Linked DNA regions of Lonchura striata. The protein of the gene in region 1 interacts with the protein of each later gene in a biochemical or structural test. Links are inferred from orthologs where the notes say so. Each region holds a gene or a part of one and is shown in the gene's direction. Other genes may lie near its edges. The genes, in order: LRRK1, CHGB, NUDT16L1 and GPBP1L1.

Region 1 (7,351 bases):
CAGGGGCAAGCACAAAGTTGGATGGATCCTCTTTTCCTTCTGAGGTGAGCCTCAAAATGAAGTGTTTCAAGACATTCTGGCTCCTGCAGCCAGATGGGGCTTCCTGCCTTGCTCTGGCTGCTCCCTAAACCCCTTGAGACACATCCAGCACCAGTGTGGCTCTGCTGAATGTGTTCCCAGCCCAGTTTTATTTCTCTCATCTGCAATGTAGATACAGAGCAAGAACATTCCATTGTCTTTTAACTCTCTTCCCATCTGATGTGTGAGAAATTCCTATGGGCTCCCTACACAGGCCAAGCCAAACTCCTTGAATTTTCCACTCACTGACAGCATCACTCAGAAGCTTTCAGACTCCAGAGAAGGAAAGGCTGAAGATACAGAGGCATTACTGTGAGTGACACAATCAATGGAGACAAAAGGAAGAGTGGGATGAGATTTGGGGAGGGGAAAAAGCGGGAAATTAGCTTGAATATGTGGGTAAATTATTGCCAGAGGAAATTAGAGGCTCTATCATAATAAAGGAAAAAGTTAATTTAGGGTGTTTTCAAACATTGTGCTAAAAATGAGGTAAGAAAGGTCTGGATAAGAGCTGGGCTGTGAGGCATAAAAGGGAGCAGGCTGGCTAAGAAGTGGAAAGGTGCTGAAAACAGGTAACGCTGTTTTTTAACTGTGTTAAAAGCCAGAAAACAATAGTGTTGGTACGTTCTAGCTCTCTACCTATGCCTGCAACTGGACGCAGAGTGATGGTGGCCTGAACACAGGGAAAAGCACCGGTAACACCCATCTGTGCCATCCAAAGGAACCCCCAGGCTCCCGCAGCCGTTCTGTGCGCGCACATCCACCCCCGGGTGACCAGCAGTGACCCATCGCTGGGTACCGAGCAGGCTAAAAACATCCTCTGTGTTTAATTTATAGAATGGCTGCGAACAGCAAAGCAAAAGGCACGCGGAAATATTGGGTTTTTTTTCCCTTAGTTGATCCGACGAGTGGGGTAAACGGAGCAATCCCTGGCTTGTCAGGCTCCTGGAGAGGAACGGGTCAGCCTGGGGAAGGGCCGGCTCCTTCCGAAGCGAGGGGGCAACCTCGCTCTGCTCTTCCAGCGAGCACCGAGCTCGCCGCGGTCGGGGAAGGAGCAACTTTCAAAGAGCGCCGCGGTAAGGCCGGGCCCTGCGGGACTGCGGGAGCGCTCTTCCCCAGCCACCGCCACTCCCACGCTGGCATTGCCCACACAGCTCAACCCTCGGAGCCCGAGGGCTGCCCGGGGGCGGGCGGGCGTGTGGGTCGGCTCGGGGGAAGGAGCTCCATCCTGCCGCGGGCCAGCCCTGCCCTCGGGGCAGCGAGGGGCCGTGCCGGGGACTCGCCCTTGGCCGCGGGGCCGGAGGAGGAGCCGCTGTCCCGCTGCCTTTGCCGCCGGGCTCCCTCCGCTCCCGGGCCGCGGAGCGAGCGGGGCGCGGGCGGCGAGGAGGAGGCGGCGGCAGCGCCCGGAGCGCCGGCCCGGGGCGCGGAGGTACCGTGGCTTTGCTGCCGCTTCTCGGGCACCTGCCCCGCTGCCGGGGCAGTCGGAGTGGGGGGCTGCCGGGGCTTTGCAGGTGGAAATGAGGGGGAAAGCGAGCGGGAGTTTGTTTTTGAAGAAAATGAAAGTTCAGAGAGAAGCTCGCGGGAGCGGCGCGGCCGCCCCGCCCGGCGGGACGCGCTGTGAGGGGACGCCTCAGCCCGCTGGGAAGCGGCTGGAAAGGCTTGAGAGACCCCCCAAAACGGGGTGTAGCGCCTGGTGACCCCCCAGCCGGCCGGGCTGTGCGAGAAGGGGATGGTTTTGTTCTCGCTGCTCAGCCGGGACGAGGGACGCGGTCCCTGGGCGGGCAGGGGGTCCCTGGGCTGGCACCGCGGCCCCAGGCTCGCCGTGGGCACCGGGCGGGAGAGCCCCAGCGCCTTCCACCTGGGCCTCTCGGGCCCCAGTGGGACTGCCAGAAACAACAGGTGGTTTGGGTAAAGCACTGAAGTTTTATCAGGGGTTTTTATCAATTAGCAAGCCATTTTCGGCTAACCGCGATGTTTCTGGCAGCCTGTTTTTAGGCACAATGCACAGGGTCAGACAGGGCGGGATGGTGAAGGGGAGGGGAGTGGGTGGTTCAGGTGTGTGCAGTAGGAGGTGTCAGGGCTGGGAATGTGTGAAATGGGATGTAAATCCCATTTACACCTGTTCAGGTGTATTCTGCATGGCCCCTCTCCTTCTGAACGAGACTCTGCAGAGCACATAGACTCTCTAAATCAAATACGTGTGGTGTTTGCACGTTACAGTTGTAACCTTACAGCAAGTGCACCTTGCTTAAGGTAAAGTTCTGTAGGGGTTTTAAAAAAATTTATACAAAAAGGTCCTGAAATACAGAAATCCTCATTACATGGGCGCTGTGTGGCAGTCATATACATGGCTACAGCATTCAGTTACTTGCAGTTAAAGGAACTGATTACCAGAACCACACCACTATTTTTCCTAAAAATTATTTTTCCTTTCACTTTATAAGAGGAAAGTTTCAGCCTGGGGAATAGGCTGAGTAGACAGCAAAAAATCAGGAGTGGAGTGGTTTTCAAGCCTCAGGGGTCCATGCTAGCCCCCATTCAGTGTTTCTTGTACAGTTGCTGTAGGTGCACATGGTTTGTCCCCGTCTCAGAGCAAGGAAGTGCCTCAGAAACCATCATCTGCTGCAGAGCTGGTGGGCCAGAGTGTGCATGGGGAAGTGTTTACTCTCCCTGGAGCTGCTCAGTGCATCAAGGGCACAGGGCAGGCAGCTGCTGGAAGCATCACATCCCCTCCACTGCCAGAGTGAACACCCTGGACAGCTCTGGGGAGGTGTGAGAGCCTTCCTGACACCTCTGCCTGGGCCATCCCACCTGTGGCATGGAGGAATGTGTGGTCCCAGCTCCTCCTGCCAGCGTTGTCAAGGGAAGCTGAGGCCAGGAGAGAAGCACCAGCACCAGTTCCAGGGCAGAATTCAGTCCTTCACCAACACAGTGCAATTCACCACTTTGTGGGCTTGGATCTGGGATTAGGATCACCTCCATCTCAGCCTCCTGCAGCACCCTGTGCCCAGACTAGGGCACAGGGGTGCCAATCTTTTTTGCTGCTGCCAGGCACTGCAAAGTCAAGGTCAGCAGAAGCTGAGTGCACCTAAAATTCAAATATTTGCCTAAAAACAACTGAAACAGGATGTAGTGATTTTTAGTGTTGTTGGCTGAAACCCTGTGTAAGGAGGGAGGAGCAGAAAGCTTCCCGGATAGTAGTGATGGATCAGCATATTTTTATATTCCCCTTGGCCTTTGATCCCAGTTCAGGAAGTCAGCTCTGCTCAGCGAGAGTCAGGGAGGGTCTTGGGCCTTGCTGGCTGGAGTGGGAGGTGGGTTATGAGCTTTGCTGAGCTAGAGCCTCAAATCAGAACTTCATCATCACACACCAGACTTGAGAAGAACCAGTAGGAGTCAGTTGAGGTGCATCATGTCACATCTGAGAGGCGTTTACTGACTGAAACTGAAAGCAGAAAATGAAGGAGCTCTGATGCTGGTTGGACAAACACTGCAAATCCTCCAGGAGCCTGAGCCTCTGTACGAAGAGGTTGAAGGGTGGTTGTGCCACTGTGAAAAGGGAAGGAGTTGGAAGTGCCTCGGGAGACTGAGCTGTGCAATTTTCTGCTGCCTGTTATACCAGGCAGTTCACAAGAAGCCAACCTTTAATAGCTCCTGAGGGCCTGATTTGCCTCCCTGAGTGAAGAAGCCTGATGCTTCCAGGGTGAGAGAGTTCTCAAAAAGGACTGGCAGAGGGGACAAGAGCTGGTGTGTTTCTCTTCACCCTCTTCTCTTTCCTACAGAGGATTATCTCAGTAACCACATCAGTGTTTTTCAGTTTCTCACAGTCTTACAAGAGCTGTGGTTGTCTTTGTGGATGGGAGAGGTTTTGAGGTTGCATTTAGGATTTTTCCAGCTGCACTGCAGGGTTTCAATGGTCTGCCTTTACACCAGCTTGTGGAGAATCTGAAACTGCAGCTGTGACCCCTGTCCACCCCCTTGTCCTCTGCCCAAAGACTGAGCAGCTTTGGTGGTGAAAAATTAGGAACATTATCTTTCTGTAATGCAGAAATTGTTAGTCCCCTCTGTTAATTCATGTTATGCTCTTAACAAAGCTATTATGAAAATAATTATATTTATAGGATAAGAGTATTTCTGCTGTGTGACATTTGGACAACTGTGTTAATAGTAGAGAGGAATAAACATCTCACTATTTCTACAGTGGAATGATTAATTTGTTTTGTTGTTTATTTTTAAACAGAATAAATGATGTTTCTTCAGGATGGTGCTCACTAGCAGCCTCTGCTCCTGCATTCACATGATGGGGATCATCCAGCTTTGACAACACTGCTCAGTCTGAAGTGCTGTGGAAAGTTTGTCTGTGGGGCCTTCACAACTGCCACCCAGAATGTACTGGTGTGTGGGAACGGAGGAATCCACTGTTTGCAGGGAGAGCAACATGGATCCACAGAATGGTAAATAGCAGGATTTGTTTCTTTCCTGTTCAGATTGGGAACAAAAGGTTCTAAGACAACTTGGTAGCCACTGGGCTCTGATGAAGTTTAAAAATGTGAAAGTTTTTTCAGCCCTGATCTTTGAAAATTTACAGTCTGGAATTTTATTTCCAGGGAGAGTGATATTGAACTATGGAGGTGGTAAGAATAGCATTCCCCTGAAGATGGATGTTCTCCAAAGGCCTACGGAATTAGTCAATATATGTATCATGTCTCCCCAGTTCCTAAATATGTTTTACAAGATCTGTGCTTTTTCAGTGTGTGAATGCAAATATGTTCCCAGTCACTGATGCAATGGGCATTCAGGATATGAAAGCTGCTAAAATCAGAGCATCTCTTCTCAGCCTGAACAGATATTAACCTGCTCCAGTTTTACCCTCAGCTCCTATTCAGTGGCTTGCAGTGATTTTATGTTGGGCTAGATTAGAACATTTGTGTTTATGTAATAAAGAAATTCTCCTTTTAGAAGGGACATATGCTTCAGGTTGCTTCCTGTGAATTTTTTTTTTTTTTCCTGAGCAGGCAAATTATTTTTGGATGGTTTCTCTCACTGCAACCCTCAGCTCCCAGGCACTGCTGCCTTTCTCTGAGTCAAACCCCAGTTATGTTTCTGCAGCAAGAAATAGCCTCCTGTTCTTGTGTAACGGTGTTCCCCCCTTGCAGCAAGTGCTTCATTAGGAGGCAGCATCTGCGTTTGAAGTGTGGGAAGAAGGTGTGTTTGACGCTTTGTAGTGAGTAAGCAGGCTCCAGCAGAAGCTAATGTTTTTGCAGCCTTATTTTGGATTTTATCAGCAACTATGAAGCAAAACCTGGTAGTTTATTCAGAGGCCTCCTTGTCTTGTCTGAAGACATTCCTCACCAGCGTCACAGGGAGCTCTGGGAACTCTTTCCTTTCTCCGTACGTATTCTGCTTGTTCTGTGATACTGATTTTTCTGTTTGCTGTTGGCAATTAGGACTGTACCTTTCTGTAACACTTGGTTATTGAATATTTTTTAAATTCTTAAATTCTGTCTTCTGAGTTTCTCTCTGGAAGAAATTATCTCCACTTGAATACTAAGCTATAAACCATGAAAAGAATTTTAATCTGCGCTAACGGTTCACAACTGTTCAGAATTGCTAAATCTTTGTTCTGCAGTAGTGATCTGGCAAGTTTTCTCTCTGTGTAAAGATACAATAAATAAATTATTGTAGGAGTGAATAATGAAGTGGAAAGTGGGATAGTGAAATTTTTTACATTTTGAATTCAGATTTTTTTCAGAGAACTTTATTACACGTTGCTGTTATGTAATTATATTCAGTTAAACTGGTTAGCTGGAAGCATGCAAATCTCTGGTAGACTCTTCTATATGGATATATCTGGGTTATATTAAAATAGTCTACAGTGCTGGAAAACTGGGAAAGGGATCCTTGTAAAGCTTAAGATCCCTGTACAAGGCACCAGTACTGCTTTGGTGGATTTGCTCATTGTAAGGGTTTTGTACATGCTTAAACTCACTGTTTTGGTCCTGCCAAGAATGATTGTCATTAGCTAACTGGTCCACTCCTTAAGTTACTGGTCCTTGTTCTGGCTCAGATCCCATTACAGGGGCTGAAGCAGGAGCACGGTGACTCATTCAGCCTCCTCATGCCAGCCCATTGTTTACACCGGTGAGGAACTGTGGATGCAGCCTCCTGCTCCCATTCAGCAGAAGCTGCTGGGAATGGGAGTGAAATCCCGGATCATTTCTTTCCTACCAATGACCTCGTTAGTGCTCAGAGTTTGGAGTCTTTTTGTTTTTGTCAGGCAGGAGGGACTGGCTTGTGGGGGATTTAACCAGAGCACGGTGGTGCTGGGGGCTCTGGGGTGGGTCAGCTGGATCAGCATGGCTGGAGGCCCCTTCCAGCAATTCCCTGTGCACCTTCATTATCTGAAGCCTTAGAATTTTTCAGGAGTTTTTTTTTCCCTGGCAGCTATAAAGCCCTGGCCAATTGTATGTGGAGAAAAATCACACTCAGCATCCTTCTTAGTTAGAAAATGCAACACAGGGTGCAGGGGCTCACCTTGCTCAGGTGTCTGCTCTGCTGTTCCTCCTGGTTGCCAGTGATTTCCCTGTATCCCAGCAGAGGATGCCAGCTTTCCCTGCATCCCAGCAGGATGCCAGCTTTCCCATGGCATGGGTGAGCTGTGTGTCAGACCTGGACACTCTTTGCCCTCTGGGGATGGTGCTGGGCTTGACCTGGTGGTGCTGACCAAGCCCTCAGAGACTTGTCACCAGAACACAGGATGAGTGAGGCTCCCTTGTGGGTGTACTCAGCATCTCCCTTGCCTCCTCAAACCCTGCTTCCCCCTCTCCTGGATTTGTTCATCTTGTCCTAATTAAAAGAAACTGAGCAGGGATATGGGGGTGGCTGCAGTCTCTCATGAAGTACAGGGTCTGGGTTTTTTAAAAAACTTGGTTAAAGAGCTCTGCATAATACAGAGGAGGTGACATGATGGGAATTTTGTAGGAAGTACAATGGAAGCCCAAAGGCATCACTTTATGAATGTGTAGAAAAGCATAAAGATTCTTTGCCTTTCTATGGGCTGATTGATTTCTTTGAATCTTACAAAATTTCATAGCTAGGATTTAATTCTTGTGTGGTTTTCTAGGAGCTCCTCAGAGGTGTAGAACAATCATTGTCTTCTGAAACATAAGGGTACTTCTGTTTAAAAAGCTTATCTCCTTCTTACTGGGAATTTTATTCAAAGTCCCAGGACATTCATATGCCACTGGTGTGTGTCTCAGAGGTGGGATTGGAT
Region 2 (7,843 bases), on another chromosome or scaffold:
AAAAGGATGATGGAAAATTTCTTGGGTGATTCCTTTTGCTGTGTGAATACTGCTGGCATAAAATAGATCTCTCAACACTGTGTTTTCAGTCTGCAATTATGTGCAAGGGCATAATTGGATTTTTGTTTCAGTATATACATTGTTCAGTAATAAAAATTTTATTCTGAAACCATTACAGTGTGTGGCGAAATCTATATGTTTTTATGTTACAAAATGGAAATTTGCCTATGAAATTTCCATGACACTATCAACCACAGAACAGTATTGTTCTTACCAAATAGAACCCTTGCTGAGAGTCAAAGTGCTATAAATATTTAAAGAAATTAATTACTAAATAAGCCAGAGTAGTGCCCTAGTCTTTAAATATTAAATGGAACATGCACAGTTGACAAAAAGCAGGCAGAAACACTGAATGGGGCAATTTAATGGCCTAAATGTAATTATTTGCAGTGCAAAGAGAACTGTTAAAGTAATTTTTTGCTTAATGACAAGCAGTACTCAGAATAGGAGGGCTTACATGTCCACATTTCTCTTGCTGAAAGAAATTTCTATCCTGTTCTTTATTCTACTACAGAGGCCCCAGAGTTCACCAAGGAGGTTAATTGACCAGTGTGAGTAAATAAAGGTCAGGGGGGTTGGCAGGGGTTGTTTGAGGGAGGGTTTTCTTTGGGGCAGCACCTGGGTGGCAGCTCAGCCGTGCCCAGCTGCAGGGGGAGAGCTGCTCCAGCCATCTCCAGCTGCTCTCTGGGCATCCCCTGCCTGGGAACTCAGCCCTGCAGTGATGCCAGTCCTCCAAAAGCCAGCCCAGAGAGGTGTGGAGGCAGCTCCTGGGCACGGGCCAGGACTCCTGGTCTGCTCAGGAGGGTGTTGGGTGCTCCTACTGCTCCCTGGTACAGGAGGAGGTGCCCGGGGCTGTGGAGGTCGCTTCTGTTGTCAGCAAGGCAATTGGTGGCAGCTGAGGCTGGGAGAAGGTTCAGTCACAGCCCGATTTGTAAAGCCATGAGAAATCTGTCAGGGCTGCTTGTGCCCCTGCTCAGGATCCAAAAGCTGCATTTTGGCTTGATGCCCAATTCATCTGGAGTGATGAACCGGCCAGTTCAAGTCAAAACTCCGGGTTTTGACTTGGAGTCCAGCAGATCATTTTTGGACAGACAATCAGGTGAGAAGTGGCAGCACAGAAAAAATGAAGTCTTGTGACTAAAAATGCCAGTGGTGCCCACATAGGCAAATTCCAACTTTCTGTTCCAGGAGGAGATGTGCTTGTTGGTTCCCATCTGTGTCATCTTCCCCATGGAGGCACTTGCCAGTGGAATTGCAGGAGCTAACTTGCATTTCCTGCCTGGAGCAAGCAATGCCAGAGGGTTGCTACTAGGGAGGGGCCTAGGAAGTAGCACTTCATGGCTCCAAAGTATGCTATTTATTTATTTATCTATTTATTATTTTAAACTTATTAATCCAGTTTTCTGCCATCTGACTTAACAAGCTGAGAGAAGGATGACTGAGGAGGAAGAGAGGTATGTGTGAGCAGCAGATGGGAAAATGTTCTGTGGAAAACCTGGGATGCTGGATAAGTGTTTGTGTTTATACTTGGTCTTCCTCTCCCACCTCTGTTTTGGGTTTGGTGGTTTCTTTTGTTTTGTTCTGCAGCCTGTGAGTGTATCCAGAAGCCCTGAGGATTTATATCAGGTAGCACAGGGCTTTTTCCAGAAGACCACAGCAGGTCTGTGCATGTATTTTTCATACCATTTTAATAGTTATGACATCCCTTGTAGGCTTATTTTAAACTGTTTTCAGTTAGGCCATATAATATTTGACCTCATTTCTATGGAATAGATACATCACTGAAAAACAGGAGCTAGAAGTACCCTACATGGAAGAGAAGAGGGTTACAAGTGAAGAAAATTTGTTTATTTGATTGTTTGTGGAATGTGGACATGTGAAATGTCCACATGTGAAAAATTGTTTGCTTGTTTGTGAAATGTGGACATGTAAGCCCTCATTTTTTCTTTGTTTTAAGAAGACTAAGAAAGACCATTCAGGAAGAGTTGGACTGACTTTTTAAGGTTCTCAAGCAAAAATACCCTGTAAATACTTTGGATTTTTTAATGAAGAAAGTCTTTTGACAATGAACGACTGGAAGTCAGTTCCATCAGCTGTTTCTGCACTGGCATGAATAAAACCCCACAGTGTGAGGTGCAGTATAAATACAGAAAATCAAAAAAAGGTATTTGTCCATGCTACAGAAATCACCCATCTGCAGCACACAGGGTCCCAGCTGCAGCTCAGTTTGCTGGGCACTGGTACCATGTGCTAAGGATGTTTCAGCTGTGCAGCTCCATCATCCCTTAAGTTGCAATGAGCACTGCATATGGCAAGGTTTCTGAAAGGATTTTGGTTCTGTTAATGAAACTGGATAGATGGTGGTGGCCTTTAGGTGCAATTGTCTTTCTCTAGACCCATCCTCTTAGCACCTCCTGAATGAAAGAGATGAGTTTGTTCATGAAATGGGCTGCAGTGTTTTAATGCTGAGAAAATTAATTGGCATGTAAGAATGAAGATAATCCCCACTAGCACACCTAATTAGAAGAGCAATCCTCATTTTCCTCATGCAGTCTCCTCTCAATTTAGAAGGAGCTCAGGCACAGAAATTTGCTTGTCATCCTTTGAAGTTCCAGCTTCTAGCATGAGCCGAATGTGTATTTTTTAAAGCATTTGTATTTGAGAGAATCCCACAGGATAAATACTGTTTATTCATAGAGCAATAGATTGTCACAACATTGTGAGGCGTGGATGTCACTGCGATCAGAGTACTGACACATCTGAGAAAGGAGGTTGGGGGGTGCCACTCACAGCTGATCAAATGAAATGTGCCTTTGCCTGCAGTAATCCTGATTTAGTGCAGTCACAGCTCTCTCCTGATCTGCAGAGAAACTCACCCCAGCTGATCCCTGGCTGTAAAAGTCCATGTGAAGTGACACTGCTTTAAAAACAGAGGCTGACTTAATTAACTGTGGGCAAGATGCTTGGATGCTCTGGTTTTCCAGTGCTGGCAGAAAAGTCTGTGGGATCCTGTTTTGGAATCCTACCCTGAAGACAGAGTTGGATATACTCCAGCCAGTTCTGTCCCTACTCCTGTCAGAGACCTCCTACAACATTTGCAGGTCTTGGCAACCTCGAACCTGATAAAATCTGAAAAAATCTGAAAAATCAAATCTGAAGGTGTGAAGGTGCTCCTATGCAGACCCTGATGTAACTGATGGCAAAACATGCTATTTATATGCCTGCAGAAGCAGAGAACACATAAAAAGCAAATGTTTCACTTAAAATTCTTTCTCATGAGCAACTGAAGAAGTTGAGGCCAGGCTGAATCCTCACACAGACAGGGGAGGACAAGGGGGGCCTTGGAGCCAGGGAAATTTGTCAGTCTTTTGTAACAGGTTCTTGACTTCCTAAAGCCAAGACTGGAGATCTCATCTCCAAAGATGAGATCTCCTGCCTGTGGAGATGGGGCTGCTTAGGCAGCACAGAACAGCATGCAGGAGGGACACTGGGGGATGTTGCATGTGGCTTGTCTTCCATGGTGGCCAGGTGACTGACTTCTGTTACTTTGCAGAAATTGTAAACTGAATGCAAGCTGAGCAAGGTGTCCGGCTTTGCCTCCTGGTGTCCCTTCCAGGCTGTCTCCTGAAACAGGCTTCAAAAGGAGCTGGAATTCCTGCTTCCTGCTGGTGAGTTGGATTGGGGCACTGTGCTAGTGTCCTGTTTTCTGTCTTTAAAGGCTGTGTGCTTGTAGCAGCCTGCCATTGTTAATGGACAATAGAATGGCACACAGACTGATATCAGAGGGAGCTGCCAGCTGGGTGTATAGATCCATTGTCCTCCAGGAACACTGGCACTTAGAGGGCCATCTGCTTGGCTCTGGAGACAAAGAAAAAAGAAAACTATAAATACACTTATAATTGGAGATGGCCCTCCGAGGGTTAATGAAAACCAAAAGGAATTCTGCTTTTTGCTGGTCTCTGAAGGGAACCGGGTGGACCATTCAGACTTCCTCATTTTAACTTGTCATTCAAGCTTTGTATTCCACTAAGGATTAATTGGGACAGCAGGGGCTGTTAAAGGAAACGATGTAAAACTTGATCTCTGTACGCTTCCTCTGGCTCCCCAGAGCATCATCAGAGTAAATAAGAGGTTTGCCTGCGGAGATGGATGCTGAGAGCTGTGATTTCCCTGCTAGAACTCTTGGGGAATACTGCGTGCCATTGCCTCCCCGGGTGCCATAAGCACTGGGATTACATCCCAGTCGTTCTCGGGGTCTGGGTGTACTGGATGGGGGGAGGCTGTGAGAGGAGGGGAAGGGACCAAAACCTTGCAGGAAGAAAAGGCGGCTGCAGCACCTGAAGAGGCTCAGATCGGGAAAGGGTGTGGAGGCGCGGCGCTGATTTCTTGTGGAAGCTGTGTGAGAGGGATGGGTTACCGCACCTCCTCCCTTCGGCGGAGGCTCGGCATCCTCTGACGGGAGGAAGGACCTCAGGATGCTGCCGCGTCCTGTGAGCTGGAGAAAGAGGCAGGGAAGCCCCGCTTTGCCCCTTTTCTGAGGCACGGCGGGGCGGGGGATGCACAGGGCCGTTGGGAGCATGAGTCGGGGGGCGGGCAGGGCGGCTGCGGTAGGTGCCGAGGCGGGGAGAAGGAGCTCGGCTTGCCGGAGCAGTGAGAAAGTTGCCCCTCCGAAGGGGAGGGGAGGGGGCGGCACCGCCCCCGGGGGCTCGCGGTGACGCAGCTCCGGCGGCCCCCCGCCCGCTCCTCCGCCCCCGGTCCCCTTTTAAACCGCGCCGGAGCCGCCGAGCCCAGCCCAGCCGAGCCCAGCCCGGGCAGACCCAGCCCAGCCGAGCCCAGCCCAGCCGAGCCCAGCCCGGGCAGACCCAGCCCAGCCGAGCATGGGGCCGCGGGCGCTGCTCGCCCTCCTGGCGGCCGCCGCCCTGGCAGGTGAGCGGGGCGAGGGCACATCCCGCCGGGAAGGGCGGGGAGCGGGGCAGGGATGCACGGGCTCGCTCCGGGAGGGGACGCAGGGTGCGGAGCCGAGCCCGGGCTCGGTGGGGATGGCGCTGGGCGAGAGCTCCGCGCTGCTCCGCCTTTATTTTTATCCCAGCGCAGCGTCCTCGCACAAAGACTTGGCGGTGCCGCTTCCTTACAGCGGTGCTGCTGGGGTTTTGCCAGCCGGCGCTGGATGCTGGGAGGTGATGGCAAAGTAGCGGCTCTGCGGGTTTAACCAACAGGGTTTTTTTATTTATTTTTGGCACGCGGCATTAAATACTAAAACCGCACGGTGAAATGAACCTTAAGCGCAATAGAATGAGGTGGTGGCTTGGCTCTACAGTGTTTTATGCATACTTACATCATTGGTTGAAAGAGTCGGTGTCATTCTGGGTTGAGTATTTTGGCTTTAGGTCTGTTAGAAGTCTCCACGCTTCTGGGACTTGTACAGAGACTGTGAGGAAGTTGACTGCCTTCAAGTGCCGTTATTGAAATCAAAGAGGGAGGGTGGGATTCGGAGGGGAAGAGACCCCAACACAGAGGAGCTCACCACACTTATACCATAGAGGCTATGGGGGTTTATTACCAAATATTTTTTCCTATTTATGCCATCAAGCAGATCAGGTATTCTTTACATCCTTCGTGGCTGTCGCACTTTCAAATGTGGAACTGGTTGAACATTAAATTCAAGAACTTTCTAGTACTCCTGCAAATCAATATGCCTGAATTTCAGTGATCCTGCCTAGGAAGACACTGTGACATTTTGATGAGGAATGACACTGCACTGAGTCATCTGCACTGATGAAACAAAGCCATGTGGGGATTTCATCAGGGACCCACCTGAAGATCTATTCTAATCTTGGAGATGCAAGCAAAATCCTTGTGAATTTGTCCTGCATTTATCATTTCTCATGATATTCATCACCACTCAGCACTTAGGCAAAATCAAATAATCTGATCGTAACTGCTTGGGCAGACTTGACTCAGGAGGGCTCACAGAGCCAGGGCTTGGCTTTGCTTAGTGGGGCTGTGGTTCGTTCCCTGCTGTGTGTTCAGGTGCAGGGTTTCCATGCCGGTGCTCTGGCTCTGCTCTGGATCCCGCCGTGCTCCGTCTGCTGTGTTCTGCAAGCCCTCGGGTGGTGCCCTGCTGCCTGAGCCTGCTGTCCCTTCATGGTGATGGCCTCACCCCTCCTGGACAGGGGGGCAGCCGTGTTGGCCAGCACCTCCAGGTGGCAGGTGGCCCCAGGGGAGCTCTTGCCAGCTGGCGTGGGCTGGCACTGCCAACGCCCGGCTGAAGTGGGGCACTGCTGGCTCCCCACCGCCTTCCTGGCTCAGCCCTGGCAGGGCAGCTGCCTCAGGGTGAGATTTCAGGCTCTGGCATGGGCTGGAGGCTCATTCTGTTTCTCCAGACAGGTTAATAGGACATTTGTCCAATAGCATTTGGTTCTCCTGCTGTTGTTACGATGCTCTCTCTCTGTTCATGCTGGCTTTCAGTGTTAAACAAGCTCTTGGGAGCTTTTGAATGACAGCAAGGACAGTGGGTACAACCTGACTTTTTCTTTCTGTGCCACTGACAGCATTCACGGGGTGGCCTGAAGTAGGAAAAGATGCCTAGGAGTTTGCTCTGTGCTTTATCCCATCACCTGGGTATCACTCACAGGAGATGTGCTGTGGCTGCATCACTAAAAGGACAAAATCAGATGTTTGCCCTGGAGCCTGTCAGCTTTTCTCAGGGACTGGAGGAGCAGAGGAGCCTCCCCAAAAAGAGCCTGTGAAGGGGCTCTGCTTTCATTGAGCCTGGGAGCAGCTCCTGCTGTAAAGGCAGCATCCCCAACACCTGTGGGAGCCAGAGGATGTCTTTTTAAGAATAGCACCTCTGGTGGGAGGGGCTTTGTCCCCTGCCCTGTGTATGTGCTGCTGCTCCTCCTGCCCGCAGCAGCCTGGTAATGGTTTGCACACTGGCTTAGGAAAGGAGCCCGGAGCCACCTCAGTCAGCCAGAGATGAGAGGGCTGGCTCCCAGCACCATCTCCCCTCACACACCACCTGGCACTCTGGGGGAATGCAGTGCTATTTTAGGGGAATCCCTTCTGTGCTCTCCTTGTGTGGGTTCCCTTCTGAAGGCACTCGTGTGCGCAGGGAAGGAAGGGATGGGGGCTGGAGAAGCAGCACACCCCTGCGTGTGTGTTTGGGGGAGAGCACAGAAATAGCAGGAGTTATTAGTGTGTGATGCTCAGCTATTCCACTCTGAGTCAGTGCTCCAGGGGATGTCTACTTCCTCTGCCAGCACAGAGAATAAAAAGGTTATGCTGCTTTAAATAGTGTAAGGCTACGTGCTCCTGTCTTCCTTGGGGCAGTGCTCATTCCCCTGATGCTGAGAGGTCAAACTGAGCTCTTTTATCTCCATGATGTGCTGTGTGTTCATCTATTTCAGGAGGTCTCTCACTGACCCAGCCAGAGGGGTCATGGTTGTATTTAGGACTCTCCTGACCCGTGCCAGGACTTCAGAGCTGCGGCCCAAGCTGTGTGTATGTGTGTGCTGTGATTCTGCACCGTGTGGGAACCTGCACAGCCAGGATTCAACAGGCCCTGCTTCCTCACACTGCTGTGGGGCTGCCAGAGGTGCTTAACCTCCCTCCTGGAAAGCTCCAGGTGGATGGCAATTGACACAGTTTATTAGTGACACAGCAGCCAAGCTCATGAACCAGCTGGAGGCATTGCAGCAGTGATGGCAAAGTCAGGCAGCACGGAGGGTTTCTTGGCAGGAGCTGCCCAGGTACAGCAGAACTGGTGTAAGGAGGTGTGAGTTTA
Region 3 (7,461 bases), on another chromosome or scaffold:
AGGGCTCGGGCTGGTCCCATCACTGCTAGCACAGCTAACTCAGAATTTTAGGAGGCCAGCAGGTGCTTGTGCCAGGGAGGGAACTGGGACATTGTCCCTGTGTTCAACCTGAGGTTACAGCTTGTGTCTCCTAAGGGCTGGCTCTGTCACCAAAAGAAAGAGGATTTTTAACAAGGAGAATGTGGTCATAGAATCACAAAATGGTTTGTGTTGGAAAGGGCCATAAAGCTCATCTCATTGCAACTCCCCACTGTGGACGGCCAACTTGCACTATCCAAGGTGGCTCCAAGCTCTCTCCAACCTGGCTTTGGACACTTCCAGGGATGGAGCACCCACAGCTTCTCTGGGCAACCTGTACCAGGGCCTCACCACCCCCATAGTAAAGACTTTGGCTGGAAATGCCTCCTTCCTTAGTCCTAAAATTTACATTTTATGTCCAAACCTTACTGGACTTCAGCTTTCCATGGAGCTCCTCAGGAGCAAAGGAATGGGGAGAGGAGTGACTTGGATTTCAGAGCACAAAGTGCTGAATTGAGATCCTGTAGTTCTTGTCTGAGGGCTCCTCTGTTGGCCCTGTGATGGAGGGGTTAGGTGAGGATATGGGGCTGTTCAGATCAGATCAGACTTGGTCTGTTTCTGGAACTCCTCACTGTGCTCCAGCCCAGATTTTCACCTGAGAAGGGAGCCCTGAAAGTGTGAGGAGCAGCACAGGACCTGGGCCTCTTGTTGCTGTGCTGGAGTTTGGCAGCACTTGGCTCTGTCCCACCCTGCTGCTGCTGTTTCCATGTGGCCAATACTGGAGGCCTTGGTGGATTCAGCTCCCCAGTCTGAGCTCCTGCTCATGAGAGTTGGCTTGTGATGCCCCCAAGTCCTCCAGGCCCCAGGGTGCTGGCAGCTCCCTGCAAATGGAGTTTCTCTTGCTGCAGCGCACTACGGTCTCCCTCATCCCCGATCCATGAGGAGGATGAGGAGAAGCTCTCCGAGGACTCGGACTCGCAGGCGGTGCTGAGCGGGGGTGAGCTGGTCCTGAGGGAGACCAGCTCTCCAGAGGTAAGTGTGTGCTTGCTAGGGGGGCTTCTGAACCAGAGCTCTTCTGGGGGGGCTTCTGGGACATGGCAAGTGCCTGCTGGGGGGCCATTGCCCAGAGCCAAGAGTCTTGGCTGCTTTGTTTACCCCTAGGGCTCCATGGGGAAGGATGTAGCCACTCCCTGTGCTCCTGACATCTCTTTGGAAGTGGAAAACCACTTAGCTGGAGCAATGGCAGAGCTGACCTTCCCCAGCATCCTGGCCAAGTCCAGCAGTGTTTGGGGTAGGGGTGGGAGCTGGGCATTAGGAGCTTCCAGTGCTGGTAAGACCCCTGTATCCCAGCCTGTGGTGCTACAGCACTGGGGTAGCCCCCTGCTCCTGCCCTGGAACAAGCCCTGGCCCTGAGCACAGCTCCCTGGAGAAAGCCAGAGCAGGAGAATGGCACAGCAAAGCCTCCAGCTGAAGAAGTAACCTGTGCTGTCCCTCCTTACAGAGCGTGGCAGGGGAAGAGATGGAGGAGGCCTCATCGGTGCAGCAGGGTAGGTGTGGGTGCAGCCAGACCTCTGCTCGATGTTCAGTGCTGTTGTGTGGGACAGGGACCATTGGGGAATGAACAACTGAGCTCAGAAACATCCAGCCCCCTAAACCCATCTCTGAGGCACTGTTCTTCACCAGGGAAATGTGCCAGGGTCTTTTATTGGAGGTGAGGGAGCAAAATCCACAGGTCTCCCTGGCTTATTTGCCAGGCCTCTTGCCTTGCTTTGAGCTTTACTCAGGTAGAGCTTTCCATGCCATGAGCTCTCCTTGCACCAGTGAGGACACCACTGGGGTCCTGGTGAGAGCACATCCACTGTACTGGGCACACAGAATGGGCCTCTGGGTCCTTGGGATGGGTCTCTGGTGCTCAGTGAGCACCCAGAGGGGACAAGGATGGGGTGTGAGAGAGGAGTGATGGGCACGCTTTGGGCCACGAGGCTGCAGGTGAAGAGGTGGCCCTTTGGCACTGTGACCCGGGCCAATGTGACCGGCACTCCTGGAACCTCAGTGGGGCTGGGTGGGCCGGGGCAGCTTCCTCACATGAAGACCTCGACCCACCCTGGCTGTGAGCGCCCGCGGTCCATGCTGGGGCTGAGGGGCCGCGCTCTCGGCTGGTTCCAGGTAGCCGCCCGCCCTCGGTCGAGGACGTGCTGCAGGACGGTGGCTGCGGCGAGAGCCGGAGCCTGACGCGGTCCGAGAGTGACCCCCCGGTCGACGTCTTCCTGCCAGGTAATGGCCGTGCCGCTGGGGCCGGAGCCGCCACCGTGGCTCCAGGGCCGGGGGGCGCGTGGAGCTGTGTCCCACAGCCCCGGGGTGGGACTGGAGCGCTCCTGCCCGGTGCACGGGCTCCCACTTCCCGTGGGCAGGGTGAGCGGTGGGCAAGGGGGCCTTATACAGAGGTAATGGCCCCTTCTCTCTCCTCCTCCGTCACCCTCGTGTCTCTGTCCTTCCCCTCCTTTCTTCTCTTTGGGCCACGGCCCCTCCCAGCACAGTTCTGTGTGACAAAGGCCTCCTGTGTGCTCCCAAGTGTGCTCCTGCTTCTGGGTGAGGGAGGGGAGCGATCTGGGCCAGCAGCTGGGGACTGGGGCAGTGTTGTCACGGCAGGAGGGTCCCAGTGCGCCATGCTCTGAGCACACCCGTGGGACACTGCTGTCCTCACCTCTGACTGTTGTCGTTGCAGCCTGTTTTCTTCCGTAGAGTCGCAGTCTGTTCTGAGTTACCTCTCTAATGTCTCCTTCCCTCTCTGTCTGCCTTCCTCCCTCCTGTCTTGGGCAGCACTTGGTCCTGATTCCTGCTCTGTTGGTATAGAGGAGTAAGCTGGTACGTCTTCTCGTTCTTCTTATGCATCCCTGTTGTGTGGGGCAGCAGGGCCCTCCTGGGAACGCTGGCAGAGAGTGGGGATGGGGCTGGTCCTGGCCACCGGGGCAGAGAAGGAGGGGCAGCAAACCAGCCGGGCTGCCCTGCTGGCTCTGTCCTTGCTCCCTTCCTATTCCTGGCACAGAATTCCTGCTGTCCCTGAGTGCCAGGACGCCAGGCCGGGCAGCAGAAACCCCTCCCCACTGGCTTCTGCTGCGCGTGGGCTCTGCTGCCTCCGGGGCACCACGAACATCCAGGCCCCTGCTGGCTTCTCCCAGGCTGTGGCAGACAGTGTCCCCGCTCAGTGTCCTGTGTCCCACCCTTTCACTCAGCCTCCCTCTGAGGACATGAGTGGTCGGCTGCAGCCCCATCTCCTGTGGTCCGTCCGGGGCGGGAGGGATGGCTGAGCACCCGCCGGGGCTGCCTTTACTGAGCCTGAACTCCCTCTCCTCACGTAGGCTCGTCCGACTTCGCCAAGACGCTCCCCGTCCGCGGCACCGGCAGCCCCACGCAGCCCCTTCTCTTCGAGCAGACCCGTCTGCACCTGGAGGACGAGCAGAGCCTTTCGTGAGCGGGGCCGGCCCCGCCCGTGCCGCCGGAGCCCGCCGGGCTCTCCCGGGGACGCAGCGCGGGGTGTCGCACCGACGCGGTTTCGGCACAGCCTGTGCATGTTGGCTGGCGGTGGGTAGGGGCTGGTGTCGTGTTTTTCCGTGGGAGATGTCTGTGGGGCCGGGGCGGGGCTTCGAGGTTCGAGTCGGCAGATGAAGGACATTACCGATGTATATTTTGTACTTACCGAGCACAGCCCTTTGCTGTCACTGCCCCTGTACATAACTGTGGCCCTCCCTGCCTTGCCGGGGCGCGGGGCTCCGCGGGAGCGGGGGAGTGCGGGGGTCAGCCCCGGCCCACGCCGAGCCCGTCACGGGGGGACGCGGGGGTCAGCCCCGTCCCAGCCCGCCCGGGGTGACCCCCGCGCCCCCGGTCCCGCAGAGCCCGGCGCTGCCCACGCCGTGTGCCTTGTTCTGCTTCTGCGGGGGGTCCCGGGGCACATCCCCCCACCTCCCGGTCTATGTTTGTAGTAATAAACCCGTGGAGCAGCCACGCGAGTCCGTGTGCAGGGGGGCGGGCGCTGGGCAGGGGCGGGGCCAATGGGCGGGGCGGGGCCAATGGGCGGGACGGGGCCAATGGGCGGGGCCAATGGGCGGGGCGGGGATTGGTGCGTGGGCGTGGCCAAGGCCCGGGGGGGGCTCGCTCGTTCCCGCCCCCGCCTCCTTCCCGGCATGCCCTTCGGCGCCCCGCCTTCCCCCCGCGCTTGGCCGGGATTGGCCGCGCGCGCTGCCCTAATAAGGCGAGCGGCGCGCGCAGCCCGCCCGCCCCTCATTGACCGCCCGCCGGCCGCCCCGCCTCTGCCGCGCGGCGATTGGCGGGCGCTGCCGAGAGCCCATTGGCCCTGCGGCGCGCGGCGCGCTCCCATTGGCCGAGGCGGGCGGCGGTCCCGCCCCCGCGGCGTCGTGGGCGCGGCGCGTGCGCGGAGCGGACGGCGGTGGCGCGAGGCGATGGCGGCGGTGGGGACGATGGCGGCCATGGGCCCGCTGCCCGCCATGGGCGCGCTGCCGCCTCTGCCCACGCTCGGCGTGCCCGGCGTGCCCGAGCTGAAGCCGCTCACGCGGTACGAGGCGATGCGGCTCGGCCCGGGCTGGAGCCACTCGTGCCACGCCATGCTGTACGCGCCCAACCCGGGCATGCTGTTCGGCCGCATCCCGCTGCGCTACGCCGTGCTGGTGAGGGGGGGCGAGGCCGCGCCGGGCCGGGGCCGGGACCAGGGCGGCGGCGGGCGGGCCTCGGGCTGGGTCGGGGCGGACGGGGCTGGGTCGGGCCGCGGGCTCCGGGGGCGGCGGGCTGAGGGGCGGTGGCTCCGCGCTAGTTCCCGTTCAGGGCGGTAGTATCAGGCTGGGCCCGAGCCCGAGGGGGAGCCCCCGGGCCCGCGGGTCCGTGCGGCCGGGGCGCAGAGCCCCGACGGCCGGGCCGCTGTCGGTGGATGGTCCTGGATGCGCCGGAGCTGGTAGTGCCGCGACGGAGCGGCCGCGACGCCTCCCGCGCCCCTCCGGCTCCTCCGGAGGCCTCCGTGCCGCTCCCTCGCCCCCCGCCGGGGGCCGCGCCGTGCCCCATTAACACCCTGCGCCTCTATTGCAGATGCAGATGCGATTTGACGGACTGCTGGGCTTTCCCGGGGGGTTCGTGGATCGCCGTTACTGGTCCCTGGAGGACGGTCTGAATCGGGTGCTGGGCTTGGGTTTAGGCTGTGTGCGCCTGACGGAAGCTGACTATCTGTGCTCGCACCTGACAGAGGGGCCACATCGCGTGGTGGCACACTTCTACGCCAGGCAGCTCACCCTGGAGGAGCTGCACACCATCGAGATCAGCGCGGTGCATTCCCGAGACCACGGGATGGAGGTGGGACACCCGGGAGGGGTGTGCGAGCTCTCAGTTAGCCCAGGGAGGCACCGCTTCCCTCCTGGGTCTGCCGGGCTGCCCTGGCCAGCCCGGCCGGGGAATGCACCGCAGGTAGAGCTGCCGGCGGCAGGTGCCCGCACCGCCCGTGGCATCGGCGTTAGGGACTGTGGCCGGGGTCGTGCCGCAGCCTCCAGACCTTAGCGAGCTTGAGCTCCAGCTTTTCCTGCTGTCCCACGCAGGGATGATCCCCGTGTTGCCGCTCAGCCTCAGGATGCGGGCGAGGGCCGTTTGCAGCTGGGGGGGATCTCCCCCTGCCCTGGGCCGAGTGCCCCGGACTGGACCGTGACCTCGGTGTGGTGATGTTGCTGTGACCCGAGTTCCTCCCGTGCGGGGGGCACCTTCCTGCCCCCGGGCAGCCGAGCCCGGCTGATGGCCGGGGCAGAGCGTGAGAGCCAGGGCCTCCCGCGTGCCCACGGGGCGCTCGGTGGGTGCCAACAGCCCTCCGAGCAGAGGCAGCGGGCGCTGGGTTGTGACCTGCTCGAGGGGACTCGTGGGTCAGCCGTGGTGTCCCCACGCAGGGCAGGGCTGGCGGGGAAAGCGGGACTCCCCATAGTGGCCTGGGGCAGCGGGATCCCTCCGATGGGGCAGAAGGGGGAGCAGAGCCAGGGCTGGGCTGAGGGGCTGGGCAGGGAGAGCAGGGCCCTGTGGGGGCATTTGGGCAGGGGCACTGACGGGGCTCAGTGGGGCTGAGGGGAGCAAGGGCAGGGGCTGGTGCGGGAGGGAGGGGCAGGACCTGGCACGGGGGCAGGGAGAGCCTGGGACAAGGGCTGGCGGGCACTGGGTGAGGGTGTGGGGCTGAGGGGGTGTGGGGCAGGGGGGGCTGGTGCTGCTGTGGCCCCTGCTGAGCTGTGCCCGTACTGTTGCAGGTGATGGGCATGGTCCGTGTCCCCCTCTACACCCAGAAGGATCGCATGGGCGGGCTGCCCAACTTCCTGGCCAACTCCTTCGTAGGAACCGCCAAGTTCCAGCTCCTGTTTGCCCTGAAGATCCTGAACATGGTGCCAGAGGAGAAGCTGGCCGAGGCGGTGGCTGCCACGCAGAGGCCGAAGAAGGCGGCCATCGACCACAGCGGGGGGGCAGCAGGACACCACCACCACAAGGCGGGCAACGAGCTGGGTAGAGCGGGCAACGAGCTGGGAGAGAGGGCAGAGCACCCGGGCATGGTGCACGTGGGGGCCGAGCAGCATCTGGTGGGGCTGGAGGGCCAGGGCCTGGGGGAGGCCGAGGCGCTGGAGCAGCACGTGGGGCTGGGCGCTGATGCTATGGCAGAGCAGGCGGTGGCTGAAGGGATGGAGTGACGCCGCCGTGTTGGCGCTCAATTAAAAGTGGGTGAGCTGAGAGACTTGTAACTTTCTGACCCGTGGCTGCTGCAATGGCTGCCCACGCGATCCCACTGCCCAGCCGGGAGGGGTTGGGTTTGTCTAAAGCAGGGAAAAGCGATTTTATTTTTATGGCCATTAAACTCTTAGCGAGCTTCCCAGATCAACCTGCACAGCCCCTGCAGAGAGTTCATGTGCTTACGTGAGGGTGCCAGAGCCTTAGAATAATGCTTTTGATTTCAGGGACACACTGCTGCTGTCAGGTCCCCCTTTTATTTGTAAGGAACAAAACATCCAGTTTTTTAAATGCCCCATCTCGACTTGGACGTGGTTGTGTTGGTATGGACACAGCTGAGGCCTGGGGCTTCTGGTCAAGCACCTCTGCCCATGTTAGTGGCCGGGCTCCTGCTCGGGGTGCTGGCACAACGGGGCAGCCATGCCATGAATTCCCTCTGGGGCGTTGGGGATGCTCATGTGGGTCCCTACCTGGAGATCTGTGGGAGCAGGAAAGTGGAATAAATGGCTTTGCTGAAAGTTTAACGCTTGGGCTCGTTCTTGAGGCTGGTGCAGAGCTGGTGGTGACCCAGAGCCAGGGCGGTGCAGGATGGGGGAGCAGAGGCCAGAGGTGAGGGGCTGGAGCTGAGGTGGCAGGAGAGCTGTGGGCTGGCTCAGGTGCTGCACTTGAGAGTTTGGGGTGCTCCAGAATGGC
Region 4 (7,933 bases), on another chromosome or scaffold:
TTCAAGTATGAGCTTGTTTAAACTGTTTTTCATAATAAAATGTATTTTCAGAACTGACTGGAATGTTCTTGAAGAGGTTGCTTCCATAACTTAGTAAACTATATTACTACCACTTTCATATAATAGGTAATTTTTTCTTTTTATTGGAAAACATATTTCCCAGTAAAACACTAGGGAAAGGTTGGTTATAAATTTTGATTATTTGAGTGGTGGAATTAACAAGCTTCTATAGTAAAATACTCATGTATTTTTCTTCTCAGTGTAAAATAACTCAGACTTCTTGGGAGTATGTCTTGCCAGCTCTATTCAGCCCTCTGTGGGATGAAATTACAGATAATATTTCATAGTCTTTCTTATTTGTATTTCAGGATCCCTCTTGGAACCGTTTGAGAAACACTACCTTAGCCGTATTTTATTAGTTTGGTAACTACAGGTTTACTTCTGATCCCTGTTAACTTTCTGGTTTAATGGAGCTTGAGGGAATCTGCAGTTGTCTGAAATAACTGATTCTGTTATGTTTGAATGAAACTTCAAAGCTGGTTGATTATGGTCTCTGATCATCAGCACCTCTTTTACCTAATCAAGATAAAGACAGGACTCTTCTCTGGACCCATGTTAAAAGATGCCATGTCTAAATAAGAAGGAATAGAAAAACCATTTTTATTCACAAACTCAATTTTATTTCCTTTATGTTCAGAAAGCTCTGAAATATATTGTTTAATAGGGTACTTTCATAGTTCAGTGTAGAGCAACTGATACCCATAAGTGCTTAGTAAGTTGTTTAACATACAAACGTTAACAGATTGCAAAAGGGAGAGTCTGATGTACAGAGCTGCTCTTTCAGCAACATCATACAAGATGGTTCCATCTCCAGGACAGGCAGGTTTCTTAAACATCTGTTCTTTGCAGAACAAAAAACGTTAAGGGACAACATGTGCTTTACTTGATGTAGAACAATGAAGAATAGAGCTTTAACAGAACTATGAGGATTATCTGGTCCTAAGACCACGTGTGGATGTAATTTTCAGCTTTCTTCCTGCATCTTACACTGCTCTTAACTACTACTGATAAAAAGCTTACAAGAAATATGCCCACATCCCATTTCATAGGTTTCTTGAGGTAGTTGACACAAAAAAGAAATCTATGTGACTTAGATTTTATCTTCTACTAAATGATGTACTAGGGGGAGTCAAGTACAGAGAGCATATGCTTCTGCAGTGGTTTCAGTAATAGCCCCATCACGGAGGATTTGCAGGCCACATACAAGCCCGTTGGTACCTGTCCAAATGTATGGATTCTTAGGAGGGAGATGACAAGCTCAGTCCCATTTCAGTCCCATTATCTGATCCCTCAGTGCCAGCACTCAAGTCCTTGTGTCATAGCATACGTTAACAGTCCTTTCATTTAGGAGTATGGCAGATCTTTATGGCTGTGTTGCATGCAGCTTCCTTTGCCAGGCAGCCCTAAATCCAAAAATCTACAAACAGGTGGCTCCAACAGCCTTTTTAATTTCAGTAAGCCTGAGCAGGAATTTCACCTTCCATCCCCTGTAGCACCTTGTCAGCCATACAAAGCTTCCTCTTCAGCTTTTCCCCATTCCACCACAGCAGCTGAATGACACATTTCAGGTGAGTGCTGACCTTGGCTTGCCACTACAAACAAATCTCACCTGTCCTTTCTTATCTGCCAGCGCACTGAGCGCTTCCTCACACAGCATTCCTGGAAGGGTCCAGGCTGGATGGGGCTTTGAGCAGCCTGATCTGGTGGAAGGTGTCCCTGTGTACAGCAGGGGACTGGAATGAGAAGATCTTTCAGGCCCCTTCTGACCCAAACCATTCTGGGATTCTGTGACTTTCAGCACCTCCTCTGAAAATAGGAGTGAAGTAAGAGTCTTGTTCCACAACACAACAACTGAGTAGAATGTGTTTCTGCATAATGCTCTGCTACTTCTTTAAACACCAAACTAGAACTGCTTTCACCTTGTTACTGTTGTTTTCCACACCTCAGAACATGATTACACATTACAGTCAAACTTTCATAGTTTGAAATGTTAGTCACAGTCATGAATAGTCATTAAATGCTTTCATAGTTCAGCACAGAGTAATTCATACCCATTTCATTTTGAATCTTCATTCTAAATTCCTAGAGCAGCAACACCTCATTCAGATTCTTTGTTCTACAGATAAGGGCAGACTCATGCCTGCCTTGGAAGTAATTGCTATTTACAATACTTCCCTCCTGAACTAGCTTCAAAATCAGTTGGAAAATAATTTTGCTTCAAGAATAAGCATCTTCATCTCTGCCATCATACAACTTCTAAGCACAAATCAGTCTTTATTTCTCCTGGAACTCCATACAAATGCCTTATTCATTTATGTTCTGCTGTGTTTTTCTATCATCACTTTGCTCCCCTTCTAAGAAAGCTTTCAGTGCTACAGTGGCCAACAGGGATAATATCATCACCATTGTTCCCACTACCCTCAGTACTTTAAACCACCTGGGGTAAGGAGGAAGAAGGGAAGTGTCATAATGCAGCGCTATCCCTAAGGCCACCGTGAGCATCACTGCTCCCTGAGTGACATCTTTGAAAAGCAGGGCTTGGCAGGCAAGCAGAGCAGGAACTGTGCCATTAGCCAGGTTCAGCCAGTCTGGCTTGGCTGGGCTGTTTGCTGGGAGAGCAAAGCCCCACCTCATTCCCCCGAGGAAGGAGGCTGTGGCAGCACCGTAGGCGACCTGAGCAAAGGCCAGCTCTGGGCTGTAGGTGCCCTGCGTAGCCATGGCCAGCGGCACAGCCACAAACGGGATTAGCCCCCCCAGGCTTAAATAAAGGGCTGGCTTGGGACAATCCTTCAGAGATCCCAGGTCTTCTTGTGGCTCTGCCTCAGATTCTGCAGGGGTTTTCTCCTTGGAGATGGGGAGAGAGGTGTGGAAAGCCCGGAGCTGGGCTGTGTAAACTGATGCTGGTTTGAGGCTCAGGGGTGTGGAGAGAGGACGTGCACATCCCTGCAGCTGGAGGACCAAGGAAGAGCAGGCTGTCTTATTCTTCCCCTGGAGCAGCAGACTGGGGCCAGGTAACTTCTGCAGCTGCAAGCACAAAACTTGTTCTGAACACCGCACAGTGCAGGCTTACAGACCCGCAGGTACTTAAACAAGCTCCTGAATATTGTACCAAGTGGTTTTCCAGTCAGGTCACAGCACAGCTGTGTTTGCTTCTGAATTTCAAGTGGTTTTAACTAAACTAATGAAGGCACCCAGTGCAGCTGATGAAGAGCAACTGGGCTCTGCAGAGTGCACAAGCAAAGCTTACTCAGTGCCCACTATCCCTCCCCACACATTTTCTTTGAAGATGTATCAATCCTCCTCCGAGTAAAATATAAAACAGTTTCATATAGAAACAGAATGAGGTCACCCCAGAAACCAGCTACTGTCCCCTCACTACTCCATAAAGAAATGATAGGAAAAAAAGACTTTGAGACAATAAAACTTGATAAAAGAAATAGCTTTGCCTAAAAGTGTTGTAGAAATGAACTATTCCAGAAAAGATGAGTGACACACTCCAACTTGGAAGCCACCTTTTTTTTTCAAAGCTGCAGTCCTATCTTTTGCTATTTTACTTTTAAATAAATCAGAAAAAAAAAATCCTTCAGTAACTTACTTTGAAAGGTGTGTTGAAGCAGCATCGTTGTATGAGAGGAAACATATTTGTTTTGTCAATGTCCTAAAACAGAAAAATTCAGAAAAAGGTCTGAAACCAATGAATCACTGAGCTGGTCTGATGCCCAAAGTTCAGTCACAGTCTGCATTTACCAAATACAAGAGTACAAGAGTCATATATTTAAAGAGATATGTGTGTGTGTGTATATATATATATATATATATATATATATATATAACATATGTATTCAATCAGTACTTGCCCACTACAGAATACTTAGTTTCAAGCAGCAAGCAGCTCTGTGAGCTGAAATTCTAAAGTTGTATTGACTGTTGCAAGAACAATTTCTAGTTAAAAAACTGAGTATCAGGGAACAGGTGATGGCTTCCCGTTCGTGGATCATCTCCTCTTCAAGGGATAAATGGCTTCACAAAGCTTATAAAGGAACAATTCCTCACACGTGGGAAAAGCGATCACTAGTAAAAAAAGGAGCAGAAAAGGCATCCCATGCAAGCTGCAGGTAAGCTCCCTGCCGGGGTACGACACCCACCAGGGGAAGGTGGGACTCCGCAGTTCCCGGTCCTGCTACGCTGGGAGAGAAAGCCAGACTGCCCTGCCGGAGGGCGAAGGGAGCGGAGGATATACGTTCAGTCCAGAGGGAGAAGGAGCCGCTCTGCCGAGCGGGCAGGACTCGCCGGGCGCTGCCGCCACCCCGGACCCGCCAGCTGTGGCGGCTTCCGGTGCCCTCATAAGCGCTCCGACGGCGCCCGGTGCTAACGCGCTACCGGTCCGGCCGGGAACCGGCACGGCCCACCGTGTTCTGCCGGGCCGCGGAAGGCCCCACCGAGCCGATACCGGGGGCAGCAGCGCCGGTCACTCTTAGCCCAAAGGCCGCAGCCGGCCTGGCGGAGGAGCGACACCCTGCCCGTGGGACAGAACCTGTCCTGGGGAGCTGTGCAGCCGTTCCTGCTTTCTGGCTTCCGGCATCACCGCATCGGGCAAGCCTTTCACAAGAGGACTACAAATCCCAAGCGCCCTGCGGCGCGCCGCCCGCCTATCCGCACGGCGGAGATGGCGAGTAGTCTCCTGGGACGCGTAGTCTGAGGCCGCTTCCGACGGGCGGTGCCGGGGGCCGCGCGAGCCGCCGCTCCTGATTGGTGGGGCGGGAGGCGCGGGGGCCGGGGCGGGGGCAGGGAGGGGGAGCCGGGGGGCGTGTCCCTTCCGCGTGCTCGGCCCCGCCCCGCGCGCGCGCGGGCCCCGCCCCCTCCGGCCCCCGGCCGGGCAGGGCTGGGCGGCCATTTTGGGCAGAGCTTTGTTATGGTTGTGGGGCCGCCGGAGCCGCGCCAGGGCCCGCCCGGTGAGTGCGGCCCCCGCGCCGCCCCCTCCGCGCCCCCCGCGCCCCCTCCGTCTCCACTTGGCCCCCGCCGCCCCCAGGCCCGCCCCGCCGCCCCCCGCGGCATCGCGGGCTCGGTGCGGCCCGGGAGCGGCCTCCCGCCAGGCCGGGCCCCCCCACCCCCTCCCCCCCGCGCTCGGTCCCGCGGCCGCGGCGGCTCCGGGGCGGCAGCGCGAGGGCCCCGCGGGCAGGGCCGGGCCGGGGCGGGCGGCGGGGCCGGGGCTCTGCGGGTTATTGTTTCCTGTGCAGCCGGGAAGTTCGTAGCGCTGACACTGCCGGAGCTCAGCTCCTGTCATGGGGCCGTCCGTGAGCGGGGCGGGGTGGGGGGGGGCGGCGGGTGAGTCCCGGGGACCGGACAGGGGCGACCCCGCTGTAGGCCGGGAACGAAACCGGGCGGCCCGGCCGTTCCCCTTGGGCTCCTCCCGGGCCGCGGTTCCCGGCCGCCCCCGGCGGGAAGGGGCGGTCGGCGCCCGGCGGTGACACGTGGGCTGCGGGCAGCCGGGGCTCGGCTCGCCCTGCCCGCTGCCAGCGGGGCTGGGGAACTTGTCAGGTGCCGCTCGGTGCCTGCTCGGAGGGAAACGGCGCCCGGCCCGAGCGTGAGGCGGCTCTTTCGGGCGTCCGAGTTATTTCCGTGTGTCCGGTGTGTTTGATGCCCCCTTGGCCTAAGGGCTTGTGTGGTTTGACTTAAAGGGCTGGGGCTGGACGTGATCAGAACGCGCCTAGCGTTTCTAATATCCATTTAAGACTTTGAATTCAGTTCAGTTTAGTAGCGAGCTGTTTTGGAACGATTTTAGAGCAGTCAGTAGGTGTCTGCACAAGTTACGAGTTTTTAAACAGCTTTAGAAGAACAGCAGCTATTTAAATTCTTACAAGTAATGGTGGAATGGTTTAAGAGTGTTGCTTAAATATCTTTTTATATTAACATGACCAGGTAGGTCAGCCTGCCTTTCCCCGCCCCCGAGCTGTGAGTGACACAAGTGTTAGTAATGTTGATAATACTCTGAAACGTTGCAAGTGCCTGAGCAAAGTGTGGAAATAGCAAAGAGGGGGAATGGAGATAACAGCTGAGATAATTGGAGCGCCATCAGAGCTGAGTTTACTGTAGAGTTGACATTGATTCTATAAAAATGTTAGGTGGTTATGAAAAAAGCTTATGCAAATGTTACTTCATGAATGAAGATGACTGGTATTGCAGTTAAAGGTTCCCCGTAATGCTTATCCATTTGGAGACTGGTATCTCAAACTTCCAGTTCCTGACTCGGGAAGGATACAGGTGCAGAGCAGTGGTAGGAGCAAAAAAATTCCCAGATTTGAGAGGAGCAGCTTTTCCTCACGCTCTTTCACATAATCTCTGGAGGAAAGTCCCTTTAAGAAGAACTTATTAAAAATTTTGTACTTAGAATAGAAAGGCTTCAGGTGATACTTCCTTATGGTGTTAGGGGTTTTTTTACAGCTGTTTGTAGGGAAGTGCAGTAGCCCTCTGCATTTTTTACTCATCTGGTTTATAGCCTTAATCCTATGTGACACAGAAGTTTCCATTGCAGATATCATACGAGGACCTAAAGTGAAAATATGCAGGGAACAGATGGCATTTAAAAAAAACCACAAATCCTGTTTTTTCTGCAGTGTCTCAGAAATATGAGGAGCAGAATGCAGATGTGAAATACAACAAATCAGATGGAAGTGCATACTTTCTGAATGTTTGAAAAAATCTTCACTTTGACAATATTTATAGGGTATGATCACCTTGTTTCACATATGTGACTGGTGCATGGTGTTACTGAATCTTGACGTTCCTGTTTTAAATTAGGAAATTAAGTCACTACAGGAAAAATAATATTCACTAGTATTTTCATTAAATGGAAACAGTGTTTCAGGAGTTATGGGATCCTTAATTTAATACAGAAAAATGCTGTGGTTAGATCTGTGAATTTCTTCAGGAGTGTGGGATGTCAGATAATGTAGTTCTTGCCTTTAAAAAATGAAGAAAAACTATTGGCTCAGGAGTTAAAGTTACCTTTTTCCCCCCTCAGTGTTAGGAGTTGTTTGAAGTTAGTTGTGTAACTGCTGAATTGACTTAGCTGTGAAGTGTACTCCAGGGTGTGCTTTGTTTGTTTGTCTGTACGAAGAGATTTGGAAAAGGGCTGACTCTGTTCAGTAGAGCTGAGGCTTTAAAGCACCTCTCCTGCCGAGTGCTGGCTGTGCTTGCATGGACACAGCTTTTCCTTACAGCTCCATAGAAACCAGGGGGTGACTGTTGCTCTAGCTTACCCAGTGACAGTCATACTTACTGGATTTTGCACTTGATGAGGTAGTGTGTGTACCAGGAAGTTTGTCTGGGATTTTTAAGTTTTATGTTAAGTAGAGGCAGGAGTTGTTTAGTTTTGGTTCTGCAAATTCAGCAATGTAAGTAGACATTTTACTCTCACTTACCTAGTGACCAGGATGCCAACTCAATCATGTGTGCCTTTTGTTTCAGCAAGAGGAATTGAAGTTCATGTTCTCTTTGCTCGTCAGATTTGATGAAAAGCAGTGAAGTTAGCAGAAACATGGTCCTGCTCAGAATACTTCATGAAAGCCAGGATGTTGTTTAATTTGTGTACTGTAACTTTATATGTTCCTGTGAAAATGTGCCAAACTTTAATGAGTTACTGTATGGTCAGAAGATATATCTATGGTTTTAGGAGTGGATTTAGGTAGAGATTCATAGTGGCTAAGTGTCCACTGCCCTGTGTATGTACAAACACTGGGCAAACCTGGAAGTTCTAGATTAGGCCTGTGAGTGTATAGTAAGCAGGGAGGGAAGCATTTTGGCTTAATTGATCATACACGTTAGTGATCAGGCTGTATCCCTCCAAACTGGAAATTCCTGATTGAAGTGTGCA

What was found.
Region 2: the proteins of LRRK1 (region 1) and CHGB form a complex in vitro, tested with the Homo sapiens proteins (2 studies listed by BioGRID and IntAct, with this or other methods). The link is inferred for Lonchura striata from reciprocal best matches to the Homo sapiens genes LRRK1 and CHGB.
Region 3: the proteins of LRRK1 (region 1) and NUDT16L1 form a complex in vitro, tested with the Homo sapiens proteins (2 studies listed by BioGRID and IntAct, with this or other methods). The link is inferred for Lonchura striata from reciprocal best matches to the Homo sapiens genes LRRK1 and NUDT16L1.
Region 4: the proteins of LRRK1 (region 1) and GPBP1L1 form a complex in vitro, tested with the Homo sapiens proteins (2 studies listed by BioGRID and IntAct, with this or other methods). The link is inferred for Lonchura striata from reciprocal best matches to the Homo sapiens genes LRRK1 and GPBP1L1.

Annotation. Positions count from the first base shown.
Region 1 is NC_134613.1:21,622,006-21,629,356, forward strand, and holds the start of LRRK1 (leucine-rich repeat serine/threonine-protein kinase 1), read left to right. Parts: upstream 1-4,343; 5' UTR 4,344-4,465; coding exon 4,466-4,532; intron 4,533-4,669; exon of another isoform or gene 4,670-5,469; intron 5,470-7,351.
Region 2 is NC_134605.1:440,363-448,205, forward strand, and holds the start of CHGB (secretogranin-1), read left to right. Parts: upstream 1-4,835; 5' UTR 4,836-4,937; coding exon 4,938-4,986; intron 4,987-7,843. UniProt on the Homo sapiens protein: Secretogranin-1 is a neuroendocrine secretory granule protein, which may be the precursor for other biologically active peptides.
Region 3 is NC_134618.1:4,128,197-4,135,657, forward strand, and holds NUDT16L1 (tudor-interacting repair regulator protein), read left to right. Parts: upstream 1-4,459; 5' UTR 4,460-4,475; coding exon 4,476-4,700; intron 4,701-5,112; coding exon 5,113-5,373; intron 5,374-6,299; coding exon 6,300-6,731; 3' UTR 6,732-7,286; downstream 7,287-7,461. Other genes in the region: E3 ubiquitin-protein ligase MGRN1, read left to right, coding at 927-1,050, 1,520-1,565, 2,185-2,292, 3,378-3,490. UniProt on the Homo sapiens protein: Key regulator of TP53BP1 required to stabilize TP53BP1 and regulate its recruitment to chromatin.
Region 4 is NC_134611.1:13,258,001-13,265,933, forward strand, and holds the start of GPBP1L1 (vasculin-like protein 1), read left to right. Parts: upstream 1-4,919; 5' UTR 4,920-5,012; intron 5,013-7,933. Other genes in the region: TMEM69 (transmembrane protein 69), read right to left, coding at 2,365-3,084, 3,656-3,700. UniProt on the Homo sapiens protein: Possible transcription factor.